Linked DNA regions of Drosophila melanogaster. The main gene of each other region encodes a partner of the protein of the gene in region 2 in a complex. Each region holds a gene or a part of one and is shown on either strand. Other genes may lie near its edges.

Evidence for each region.
Region 1: Prim2 (region 2) and PolA1 share a complex: the UniProt entries of both Drosophila melanogaster proteins name them as parts of the alpha DNA polymerase complex.

What each region holds. Positions count from the first base shown.
Region 1 is NT_033777.3:21,665,763-21,673,722, reverse strand, and holds PolA1 (DNA polymerase alpha subunit 1), read left to right. Parts: upstream 1-1,972; 5' UTR 1,973-2,077; coding exon 2,078-2,093; intron 2,094-2,151; coding exon 2,152-2,346; intron 2,347-2,399; coding exon 2,400-3,418; intron 3,419-3,483; coding exon 3,484-6,044; intron 6,045-6,104; coding exon 6,105-6,583; intron 6,584-6,912; coding exon 6,913-7,109; 3' UTR 7,110-7,161; downstream 7,162-7,960. Other genes in the region: CG31176 (uncharacterized protein), read left to right, coding at 3-363; Jhbp16 (juvenile hormone binding protein 16), read right to left, coding at 7,197-7,470, 7,587-7,884, 7,935-7,960. UniProt on the Drosophila melanogaster protein: Catalytic subunit of the DNA polymerase alpha complex (also known as the alpha DNA polymerase-primase complex) which plays an essential role in the initiation of DNA synthesis.
Region 2 is NT_037436.4:20,359,236-20,363,302, reverse strand, and holds Prim2 (DNA primase subunit 2), read left to right. Parts: upstream 1-1,717; 5' UTR 1,718-1,795; coding exon 1,796-3,397; 3' UTR 3,398-3,470; downstream 3,471-4,067. Other genes in the region: Toll-9, read left to right, coding at 1-796, 867-994, 1,056-1,263; CG5665 (uncharacterized protein), read right to left, coding at 3,483-4,067. UniProt on the Drosophila melanogaster protein: Regulatory subunit of the DNA primase complex and component of the DNA polymerase alpha complex (also known as the alpha DNA polymerase-primase complex) which play an essential role in the initiation of DNA synthesis.

The DNA.
Region 1 (7,960 bases), on a different chromosome or scaffold from region 2:
AGATACATAACTCCGGCAGCAGCCGCCAATGCAACTGCGACCTCATCAACCTCAGCGTCAGGAGGCGTGGGTGGCACCAACCTGGCGGTTTATCCCACGGCCACCGCCCAGGTTTATCGCTCGAACAACGGCCTGGATGTTCTGGACTGCGCTGGACTGGAGCACCACAACGCGGCCACCACTTCCGGTCACTCAGGCAGCGGCTTCTCCCAGCGCCTCAGGGAACTGGCCGCCTCCGCCGGACTGCTCTCCCTGAAGCCCCGCCAGCCTCTCAAGCCGGTGATCAAGACGCGTGGCTCCCCCGGACCGGAGTTCCCCAAGAAGGTCACCTTTAGTGCCTTTGCCACCGTGCAGGTGGTGTGAAGGGCGTGAACAGTGGGTCTAGCATCTGTTGCATCTGTGCAGGCACAGAGCAAGGTAATAACATTTACTTTTTGTTTTTTAAGTATTTTTAAGAATACTCCAGATCAAGATAATTCTTTGATACAAAATAAACTTTAGAAAAATATGAAATACATTTAAGCAAGCAATGTAATTATACTGGAATAAGAATTGCAACCCACTTTATATTCTGATTTAATATAGTTACATAATAACATAGTATAATATTAAACCAATTGTAAACTGAATTATTCATTGATTCTTTTTCTTCTCTTTTCATTTCAGTATCATCTTGCACTTGTTAACGATTATTTCTTGTTGTTTTTATATTTGTTGCTGTTGTTAAATGTTTAGCCAAAACTATGGAAACCATACACGGAGAAAAATTCCTTAAAACATAAAAAAAAAACATAATAAATTGTTGTGCCATGTCTGTGGCTTGAAATAAAAATGAAAACCATATAGAAATGAATAACACACCCCATAGCTAAAGAAAATACCTCAAGGATCCTAAATAACTGCCCTCCTTTATCTTATTTTATCTGCTTTGCTTAACTGCCCTCCTTTATCTTATTTTATCTGCTTTGCTGTACATTCTGGTAGACTGACATTTTAATATCCTTTCTATAGTTCCTCTCGATCACCCTATCCTAAAACAGTATTTTCCATATTTTCTCATCTTCCGAAATCTTTCCTCACCAACACACCCGAAAATAATTGTAAAATATAACGACTGCAAGTGCAGAAATTCTAAATATTTACTATTAAATTGTAAATATGTACGAATTTTTGCTTATAACAATTAAACAGCAAATATAGTCATAAATATATGTATTCATGTAATATGTAAGTCTGTTTTGTGTATGTGTGTATATATATAAACCATGATTTTGCATTGATAATTATATAGGGTATGAAATCACCTTTCAAATCCACACAAATTTTAATCGAAATTGCTGTATATTGTATTTAAAGTATAATATTATATATATCTTATAAGCCTAATATTATGCATGATAAATAAAATACGATTAAAACCAAACAAACTATTGTCTTTTAATTTGGGAATAAAAACATATGACAAGCACATTAAAAGGGGATCTTCATGGAGCAACTGCTAATGGAAAAGTTTTTCTTTTTGTGATCCACTGCAATTAAAAAGCTGAAGCTCGAAAATGTAAAATCTAAAAGAACGCCCTTTAAATGGTGATCATTGTTCTTTCTTACTTGGTGAATTCATTTCAATTATCAGGTCGGATTTCCCGCCAAAATATAGCAGTCATTTTAAATCGCTGTAACTGTTATGTTAACTATTCGTGTTAACTGTAATCGATCATTTGTGCTTACAGATTAGACGCTAACAGTGCCCAGAGCTAACATAACGCGCTGCCACCTATCGATATATTACCACTCAGAAATTCATAAAATAGAGATGTTACTTAATAATAAAATTGCAATTTGGGATTAAGTTATTGTATGGCTTTTATTTTTTTTAATTTCCTTACATTCTTCCTCTTCTTAACGACACTATCGATATTACATTGCAAAAGTCCGGCAGCGCTTTATGTATCGTAGCTCTGTTATCGATATGTTCCCGCCATTCCCGCTTTGATCATCCTCCAGCCCTGGTCACAAAACAATTTTTGCAAACTGCAGCACAACACGGGGAAATTATTATCAAAGTTAGCCAGTTGCAATGTCTGAATCACCGTGTAAGTTAATAAGATAACTCCCTTAAACATATTTTTTACCGAAATTATAAATTTCCAGCTGAACCGCGCGCTAAGCGCCAGAGAGTAGACAAAAATGGTAGGTTCGCCGCCATGGAGCGACTGCGTCAGCTGAAGGGAACCAAGAACAAATGCAAAGTGGAGGACCAGGTGGACGATGTATACGATGTGGTTGATGAGCGGGAGTACGCGAAGAGGGCGCAGGAAAAGTACGGTGACGATTGGATCGAAGAGGGTAAGTTGGAACTCTGAACTCTATACTTTATAATACTAAATTTTAACTTTTAGATGGTACTGGTTATGCAGAAGATCTTCGGGATTTCTTCGAGGACGAAGATGAGTACTCCGATGGGGAGGAGGATCGGAAGGACTCGAAGAAGAAGAAGGGTGTTGCCCCCAACAGCAAAAAGAGACCACGGGAGAATGAAAAACCAGTAACAGGAAAAGCATCCATCAAGAATCTATTCAGCAATGCAGTGCCCAAAAAGATGGATGTAAAGACCAGTGTGAAAGACGATGATATCCTTGCTGATATTTTGGGCGAAATAAAGGAAGAGCCTGCAGCGACGTCAGAAAAGGCGGAAAAGGTTATAGCCCCAGCGAAAATATCAGTTACGTCGCGTAAATTCGATGCCGCCGCTGCCAAGGAATACATGAATAGTTTTCTAAACAACATCAAAGTTCAGGAGCAGGAACGTAAGAAAGCGGAGGCCAGTAGCGATAACGAGATGCTGGAGCGCATTCTGAAGCCCAAGGCAGCAGTTCCAAACACAAAGGTGGCCTTTTTCTCCAGTCCTACAATCAAAAAAGAGCCCATGCCTGAAAAGACACCTGCAAAAAAAGCCACCGAAGATCCATTCTCCGACAATGAAATGGACTTTAGCTGTCTGGATGACGATGAAAACCAGTTTGATGTGGAGAAGACACAGCAGACCGAGAAGGTTTCCCAAACGAAAACAGCAGCTGAGAAAACATCCCAAAGCAAAGTCGCCGAAAAATCAGCTCCCAAAAAAGAAACAACTGGATCGCCAAAGGAATCGGAATCGGAGGACATTAGTAGGTTGCTGAACAATTGGGAGTCTATATGCCAAATGGACGATGATTTTGAAAAGTCCGTGCTCACCACGGAGCAGGATTCGACAATCTCCTCAGATCAACAGCTTCGGTTCTGGTACTGGGAGGCCTATGAGGATCCAGTAAAAATGCCCGGCGAAGTCTTCCTGTTCGGTCGGACCGCAGATGGAAAGTCCGTCTGTCTGCGTGTACAGAACATCAACCGTGTGCTCTATCTGCTGCCCCGACAATTTGTGAGTATTATTCTACAAATACTTAGTCCTTAGGTGAAGTGTTGTTTCTGAATATATTCTTTTAGCTCTTAGATCCCATTTCGAAGGAGCCCACCAAGCAGAAGGTGACCGTCGCAGACATATACAAGGAGTTCGACAGCGAGGTGGCAAACCAACTGAAGCTCGAGTTCTTTCGATCCCGCAAGGTCACCAAGAGTTTTGCCCATCACGCTATCGGTATTGAAGTTCCGCAATCTTGCGATTACTTGGAGGTTCACTACGATGGAAAGAAACCACTGCCCAATTTGTCGGCTGACAAGAAATACAATTCTATAGCACACATATTCGGCGCCACCACCAATGCACTCGAAAGATTCCTCTTAGATCGGAAAATCAAAGGTCCCTGTTGGCTGCAGGTGACTGGATTCAAGGTGAGCCCAACTCCCATGAGTTGGTGTAACACCGAGGTCACATTGACAGAGCCCAAGAATGTAGAGTTGGTGCAAGATAAGGGAAAGCCAGCGCCACCACCTCCACTTACGCTACTATCGCTTAATGTTCGCACCTCAATGAATCCGAAAACATCGAGAAACGAGATATGCATGATTTCCATGCTGACCCACAATCGTTTCCATATCGACCGCCCTGCTCCACAGCCCGCTTTCAATCGACATATGTGCGCTTTGACTCGCCCGGCGGTGGTTAGTTGGCCTTTAGATTTGAACTTTGAGATGGCAAAATATAAGTCTACCACAGTGCACAAACATGACTCAGAGAGAGCCCTGTTGAGTTGGTTCTTAGCTCAGTACCAGAAAATAGATGCAGATCTCATTGTAACCTTCGATTCCATGGATTGTCAACTAAATGTAATAACCGATCAAATTGTAGCCCTGAAGATTCCCCAATGGTCTCGAATGGGGCGACTGAGGCTGAGCCAATCGTTTGGCAAGCGATTGCTGGAACATTTCGTCGGCAGAATGGTTTGTGATGTAAAGCGATCTGCAGAGGAGTGTATAAGAGCAAGATCCTATGATCTGCAAACGCTATGCAAACAAGTACTGAAGCTTAAGGAATCGGAGAGAATGGAAGTGAATGCCGATGATCTGCTAGAGATGTATGAGAAAGGAGAAAGCATTACCAAGCTCATATCGCTCACCATGCAGGACAATTCATATTTACTAAGGCTGATGTGTGAGCTCAACATCATGCCGTTGGCGCTACAAATCACTAATATCTGCGGCAATACCATGACCAGGACCCTTCAAGGAGGTCGTTCTGAACGAAATGAGTTCTTGTTGCTGCATGCCTTCCACGAGAAGAATTACATAGTGCCGGACAAGAAGCCGGTTTCTAAACGAAGTGGTGCAGGAGATACGGATGCTACGCTTTCAGGTGCAGATGCGACGATGCAAACCAAAAAGAAGGCAGCCTATGCTGGTGGCTTAGTGTTGGAGCCCATGCGTGGTCTCTACGAGAAGTACGTTCTCCTCATGGACTTTAACTCCCTGTACCCCAGTATAATACAGGAGTACAACATATGCTTCACCACCGTCCAACAGCCGGTGGATGCAGATGAGTTGCCCACCCTACCCGACTCGAAAACGGAACCTGGAATCTTACCCCTTCAATTGAAACGCTTGGTGGAGTCGCGAAAAGAGGTGAAAAAGCTAATGGCAGCGCCTGATCTTTCGCCGGAACTCCAGATGCAGTACCACATTCGGCAGATGGCCCTGAAGCTAACTGCGAACTCCATGTATGGTTGCTTGGGTTTCGCCCACTCCCGGTTCTTTGCCCAGCACTTGGCTGCTTTGGTCACCCACAAGGGCAGAGAAATCCTCACGAACACACAACAACTCGTGCAAAAGATGAACTATGACGTTGTTTATGGAGACACAGATTCCCTGATGATAAATACCAACATAACCGACTACGACCAGGTCTACAAGATTGGTCACAATATTAAGCAGAGTGTAAATAAACTATACAAGCAGCTGGAATTGGATATCGATGGAGTATTTGGCTGTTTGCTCTTGCTGAAGAAAAAGAAGTATGCCGCTATCAAGTTGAGCAAGGATTCCAAGGGAAACCTGAGGCGTGAACAGGAGCACAAGGGCCTGGATATAGTACGTCGCGATTGGTCTCAGCTGGCTGTAATGGTGGGAAAAGCCGTTCTCGATGAAGTGCTGTCGGAAAAGCCTTTGGAGGAGAAACTGGATGCAGTGCATGCCCAACTGGAGAAGATCAAAACTCAAATTGCAGAGGGTGTAGTACCGCTGCCACTGTTTGTCATCACCAAACAGTTAACTCGGACTCCCCAGGAATATGCCAATAGTGCTTCATTGCCCCACGTCCAGGTGGCCCTTCGTATGAATCGCGAGCGTAATAGGCGGTACAAAAAGGGCGATATGGTGGACTATGTGATCTGTTTGGATGGGACAACAAATGCTGCCATGCAGCGAGCATACCATTTGGATGAGCTCAAGACCAGTGAGGATAAGAAGCTGCAGCTGGACACGAATTACTACCTGGGACACCAGATCCATCCGGTAGTCACGCGAATGGTGGAGGTGCTGGAGGGAACCGATGCGAGTCGCATCGCCGAGTGTCTGGGCATGGACCCAACCAAGTTCCGTCAGAATGCGCAGAGGTACTTACTATCTTATTACTCCTTACAAACTCTAACCTAACGAATATTTTGGTTATGTAGAACCCAGCGAGAGAACACCGAGCAGTCGGAGGGTGAGTCCCTGCTCAAGACGACTCTGCAGTTGTATCGCCTGTGCGAACCGTTCCGCTTCCAGTGCGTTACCTGTAAGACGGAGCAGCTGATGGCGTCTGCGTACCGACCGGGTCCAAGCAACTCCCACATAGCCGTACTCCAGCAATGCGCTAAGTCCGAGTGCCAAACGGCACCGATTCAGTACCTGGCAAGCGTGCGCAATCAGCTGCAGCTTTCCATGCGGCAGTATGTGCAACGGTTCTATAAAAATTGGCTGGTCTGCGATCACCCGGATTGCAACTTCAACACCCGCACACACTCCTTGAGGAAGAAATCCCACCGCCCGCTGTGCCAAAAGTGCAGGAGCGGCAGCCTGCTGCGTCAGTATACGGAGCGGGACCTGTACAATCAGCTGTGCTACCTGCGATTCATGTTCGACCTCGGCAAGCAAACGCTGCAGCAAAAACGTAAGTAAATACAATGTAGTTATAAGCAGTATCAAAAACTAAAACAATAGTTTGTGTATAAGAACAAAATGAAGAATGTGGAGTACGAGAGAGAAATATCGACACTAAATAACAAGACACATGAAAGGAAAAATCAGTCGAAATATTTTATAGTTCCCGTGATCTCGACGGATTTCAGTAGTTCTTTATGCTTGTATCCTTGAATTCTTAAAAATTGTTGTAGTTTATATATTAGTTCTGACACCTAATACATATATTTCCCTTAAGATTGGTATCATTAAGTTTTACAGCATTTCATATTGAAATTATATTTTGTCCATATTATCAAGCCACCCTCACACCGGAGCTGGAGCAGGCCTATCAACTCCTATACGAAACGGTGGATCAGCAGTTGCAGAGCTCCTCCTACGTGATCATCTCGCTAAGCAAGCTCTTTGCCCGATCCCTGGCTCAGATGTCCCTGCAACCGTCCGTGGCGCAGCCCCAGATCGAAGCAATTCCGAGTGCTTTGGCGGATGTGGTCTAAGTGTTTAATTAACTAGCCTTTGTTATAAGTTCCATTAAAAATACTACAAAAGAGATACAGAGATACAGTATGGTTAACTAGATGAGGTCACGTGGCGAGGAACTTCTCGAGCGGAAAGTGCCGGAAGGACTCGTTGAATATATCCGTAAATGCCGTGCTAACCAACTCGTTAATCATCGGCTTGATGAAGGGCAATCCCAGCTGCCACATGCTGTTGATGACTCCATCGGCCAGTTGGTTGAGGGGCTGTCCCTGCAGCAAGTTCTCAATGTGCAGCTCCATTCCGCCGATGCGGTCCACCTCCACATGGACCTTGATGAGTGAGCCCGGACCGCCGATGCGCCTAACGCTGGTGGTTTGACTGAGGAAGTAAATAAAGTGAGCGATAGGTTGTCATGTAAGCCAAAAGCTATCAACAATACTGGTGTTTGCAACACAGCTTGGGAAATACATATTTCCATGCAACTCGGTGCCCACCTGTAATCGTAGAGGGTGAGGTTCCAGTGGCCTTTTCTGTTCATCTCAGTACCCAGCATCTTGGCGGCGAACTCGTACTCGCCCTCCAGACTTTTGTCGGGGAAATACTGAGTGTAGACGATGCGCTGGTCCTCTGGATCGGCATGGAACTTGGTCACCTCGGATCGCGCCCATCCGTACTCGGATACATTGCGCAATATCAGACGAAAGCTGCCCAGACCCTGTGATTCACCTCGTCGCAGCTCAACGTAGCTACAGTGGTGCGGGTCAAAGGGCTTGATGTTGTAGTCGGGCACACCTGAAAGAGTTGCTCCATGATTGCTCGCCCGTAATCCACATCTCACTCACCTGTTGTGAAGTAGGCCCTTAGGTCG
Region 2 (4,067 bases):
GCGATTGGATTACCTTAGTCTCGGGGACAACGACTTTATTTGCGACTGCCATTTGAGAGCGGTGGTGGAGGTGGCGGCCGCCAATAATAAAGATGCAGACTGCTCCTATAGACTGCTGAACTATAGTCAGAATGCCGTAGGTGAGGAGGTAATATCTCTGGCGGAGTCACTAATTATAGATCGCAAGCTATGGCAGAGTCGCTATATTCCCTGGCTGCAGAGAAGTTACTCCAACATCAGGGAGTTCAATCGCGCGAATCATATAATCAAGCTGCGCTTCTCCTCCGAGGACTACATGGTAGCCAAGTGCTCCGCGGCCCAGCCATACCACTTAGGGGACCTTGACGGAGATCTTACCCTAAAATTTCAGCTGCTCGACTACGAGGCCAGTCAGTATTACTGCTTCAACAACACCGATCAGCTCCAGGTGGATGAGCTCAACTGCCAGATCAGGTCGATGAGTGACCTCGCCGAGGAGTTGCACCACGTTACGAACACAGTGATCGCAGTCATGGGCAGCTTAGTTGGCGCTTGCATCCTGGGATTTATAATTTATCTGAAGCGCTGGCACATCCACTACTATTACTCTTCCCTGAAGTCCGCTGCCTTGTTGTCCAGTGCGTCCAAGGAGTCGGTGAATAAATTCACAAACATATCCCAGAGAGATCCCAGTGCCGTCTACGATATCTTCATCAGCTACTGCCAGAATGATCGGACCTGGGTGCTCAATGAACTGCTGCCGAACGTGGAGGAAACTGGGGATGTGTCCATTTGTCTGCATGAAAGAGATTTTCAGGTGAAGCGTACTTATCTTACAACATTAACTTACTAATAAAGTGAAACCTTAACCCTTAATTCACATGCAGATTGGAGTGACCATCCTAGATAACATCATCTCCTGCATGGATCGCTCGTATTCCCTTATGCTGATCATATCCTCCAAGTTCCTGTTGAGTCATTGGTGTCAATTTGAAATGTATTTGGCACAGCATCGGTAAGGAATCTTTATCTGTAAAATTCAAATATTAAAATCAATATATGTGTGTATATTGTAGCATCTTTGAGGTCAGCAAGGAGCACTTGATCCTGGTTTTTCTGGAGGACATTCCACGGCGAAAGCGACCCAAGACTTTGCAATATCTCATGGATGTGAAAACGTATATAAAGTGGCCGACGGCCAAGGAGGATCGAAAGCTGTTTTGGAAACGTCTGAAGAGATCCCTGGAGGTCATAGGGATCAACTCCAGAGAGATCAGTGTTTAGAAAACATGTAATTTTATCCGGAGAGTTCTAGTCAGTTGTGCACGTACCTGATATAGTATATAAACTACTTAATTACACTTTCATGAAGACGAAAGTTTCCCCACAGTAATCATAGTAATATGCAAAATTTGCTGCTGAACATAAGTATAGTTTAAACATATATTAATAAATAAAGGTATTTAGGTTTTTAAGAGCTTATGTGATGTTTTTGAAATATCTTAACAAAGGCAATAGCGTCGTATATTAAACATAACCTACTACTACTGGACACTATGTAAACAAAGCTAAGGCCTAAGAAATATCTAACAATGCAACACACAATCAATACATCAGTACCAATTGACTGATAATAACAATTAAAAACGTTTAATTTTGAAATACAAATTGAATAAACCGCAAGCATCGATAATGAGCAGAAAACTATCGATAACAACTGACACAGCTGATATTTGCCATCAGTAGTTTGCGCGCCAAAACAACAAACGGGCATTCCACAAATTGTAAATTACTATAGCAATTCCCGCGACTCACAATGGAGTTTGGTCTGAAGAAACGCGCGAGACATGAGGTGAAGGTGGAGGTGGCCAGCCTGGAAACCAAGTACCCGCACAACGTCATGCTGTACCACTATCCGCCGACGGAGGACGTGCACATAGACGAATTCGAGGAGCTGGCTCTAGAGCGCTTGCGCCTTCTCCGCGTCCTGGATCGCGCAAGCACCCGGAACCTGCGCGTGCTCTCAGATGAATGGAAGGAAATCGTGAGTGCGGACCTGACCCGCGAGGGATTGCGCAGCTATTTAAGGCTCTGCTCCACCGGCGGAAGCGCCAAGCACGAGGCGGATATCCAGACCCGCAGGCGGGACTATCTTTCGCACTTCATCTTGCGGCTGGCCTACTGCCGCTCCGAGGACCTTGCGCGCTGGTTCGTGGCCCGCGAAATGGAGCTCTTCCGGTACAAATTCGCTGCACTTAGCAGCTTCGAGGTGAAGCAGTTCCTTGAGGCCAACGGCTTTGAGATTCACCCCCTCACCGAGGCCCAGAAGGACGAAGTCAAGGACGGCCTGTACGAGAGCACGGTCGGACAGAGCGTGGCGAAGATCGAGCTGTTGGACTTCTACAAGGTGCCCTTCACCCAGGTGCTCGATCTGGTGCGCGGACGTCGCTGCTTTTTAAAGGCTGGCTACGCCTATGTTAACACCCACGACCTGGTGTCCCTAGTGGGCACCAAGCAGCAGGACGAGATCGAGCAAGGCCTGCAGGCTGCTAAGACTATGGTGGAGGATGTAGAAGCCGACGAGCGCATCTCCCGCACACTTAAAGCTCTACATAACTCGTATACCGGTAGGGATTACACCGTTTGTCGGGATGCAGCTGTGCCCATCGAGTCGCTCGATCAGCTCTCCAAGACCTCCATGCCGTTGTGTATGCGCATGTGCCACGAGCACATTCGTGCCAACCATCACATAAAACATAGCGGCCGAATGCAATACGGCCTGTTTCTCAAAGGAATTGGCGTGGCACTGGAGGATTCGCTGCGCTTCTGGCGCGAAGAGTTTACCAAGAAAATGGACGCGGATAAGTTTACACGCAGCTACGAGTACAATATTTACCATAACTACGGAAAGAAGGGTTCCATGGTCAACTACACACCCTACTCGTGCGCCAAGATTATCAAGGATGTGGCGGGGCCGGGCGATTGCCACGGCTGTCCGTATAAGAACATGGATCAGGGCTCGTTGAAAACCAAGCTGTCCTCCTATGGCCTGTCAGCCAGTGCCATCGACGAGGTGATGTTCTTTGTGTCCCGCGGTCACTATCAAATTGGATGCGGCAAGTACTTCCAACTTACCCACAATTCACCCGTCGAGCCGAGCATCAATCACCCCAACAACTACTTCGAGGAGAGCCAGATAGCGATGGGCAACCGGCAGAAGCGCGCCAATGGTTCTGCTCCGCCCAAGGCCAGAATCCGTCCAGATATCAAGGGCCATGGGGATCGGTCCATGCTGATGGGTGACGATGACGATGAGTTGTGGCGAATCGCGGAAACCCAGGAGCGTATCATGCAGAGCCAAAAGGACATATCCGAGGCCTTCAATGATGATCTAGATCTTACGCAAATCGATTACTAAACGTTGTACAACATAAATTAACTAAGGTACATATATATTTAAGCATCGTAAATAAGAAAAGTTATATTATTCCATGGTTCGGACTTCACCTCCGGCACAAGTAGCACGTTTTAAGCCTAGGATCAACAGTGTTCTCCGAGTTTCGGCCGTAAGGGGGCCAGCCATTGACATCTACGTAGTAGATGCCCCTGGCTTGGGGATTCATTCGATAGCCCATCGGGGAAACTATGCCAGCAGAACAATCCCGTTTTCTTAGCTCATCCCAAGAAGCGCACTTCTTGCCCATAAAGTTCTTCTCTTGGTGTGGATATGCACTCTCGGCGAAATACTCAACGGCTCGGGTATGAGAGCATCCGATGGTTAGGCAGCCTGGCTGGATGGGATGTGCTCCGCCGGGATAGAAGTCCACATCACCGAGGGGTCCACGCTTGGCCAAAATACCAATGTTGGTGTGGATTATGTCCACTAGCTTGGCATCGCCACGCGTCAATCCTGGCAGAATCTTTTCCCGCCTGAAACATGGCTTGGCCGGATCCAAGCCAGTTATCCTGGGTATAAGTTTTCCGGTAAGCTTCTTAAAAGTCCGACCAGCAGTGCCCATAATGTGAGCTCCTAGTGAATGTCCTACAAAGAAATCAGAACCAGAATTTATGGACACAAAGGATTCCTT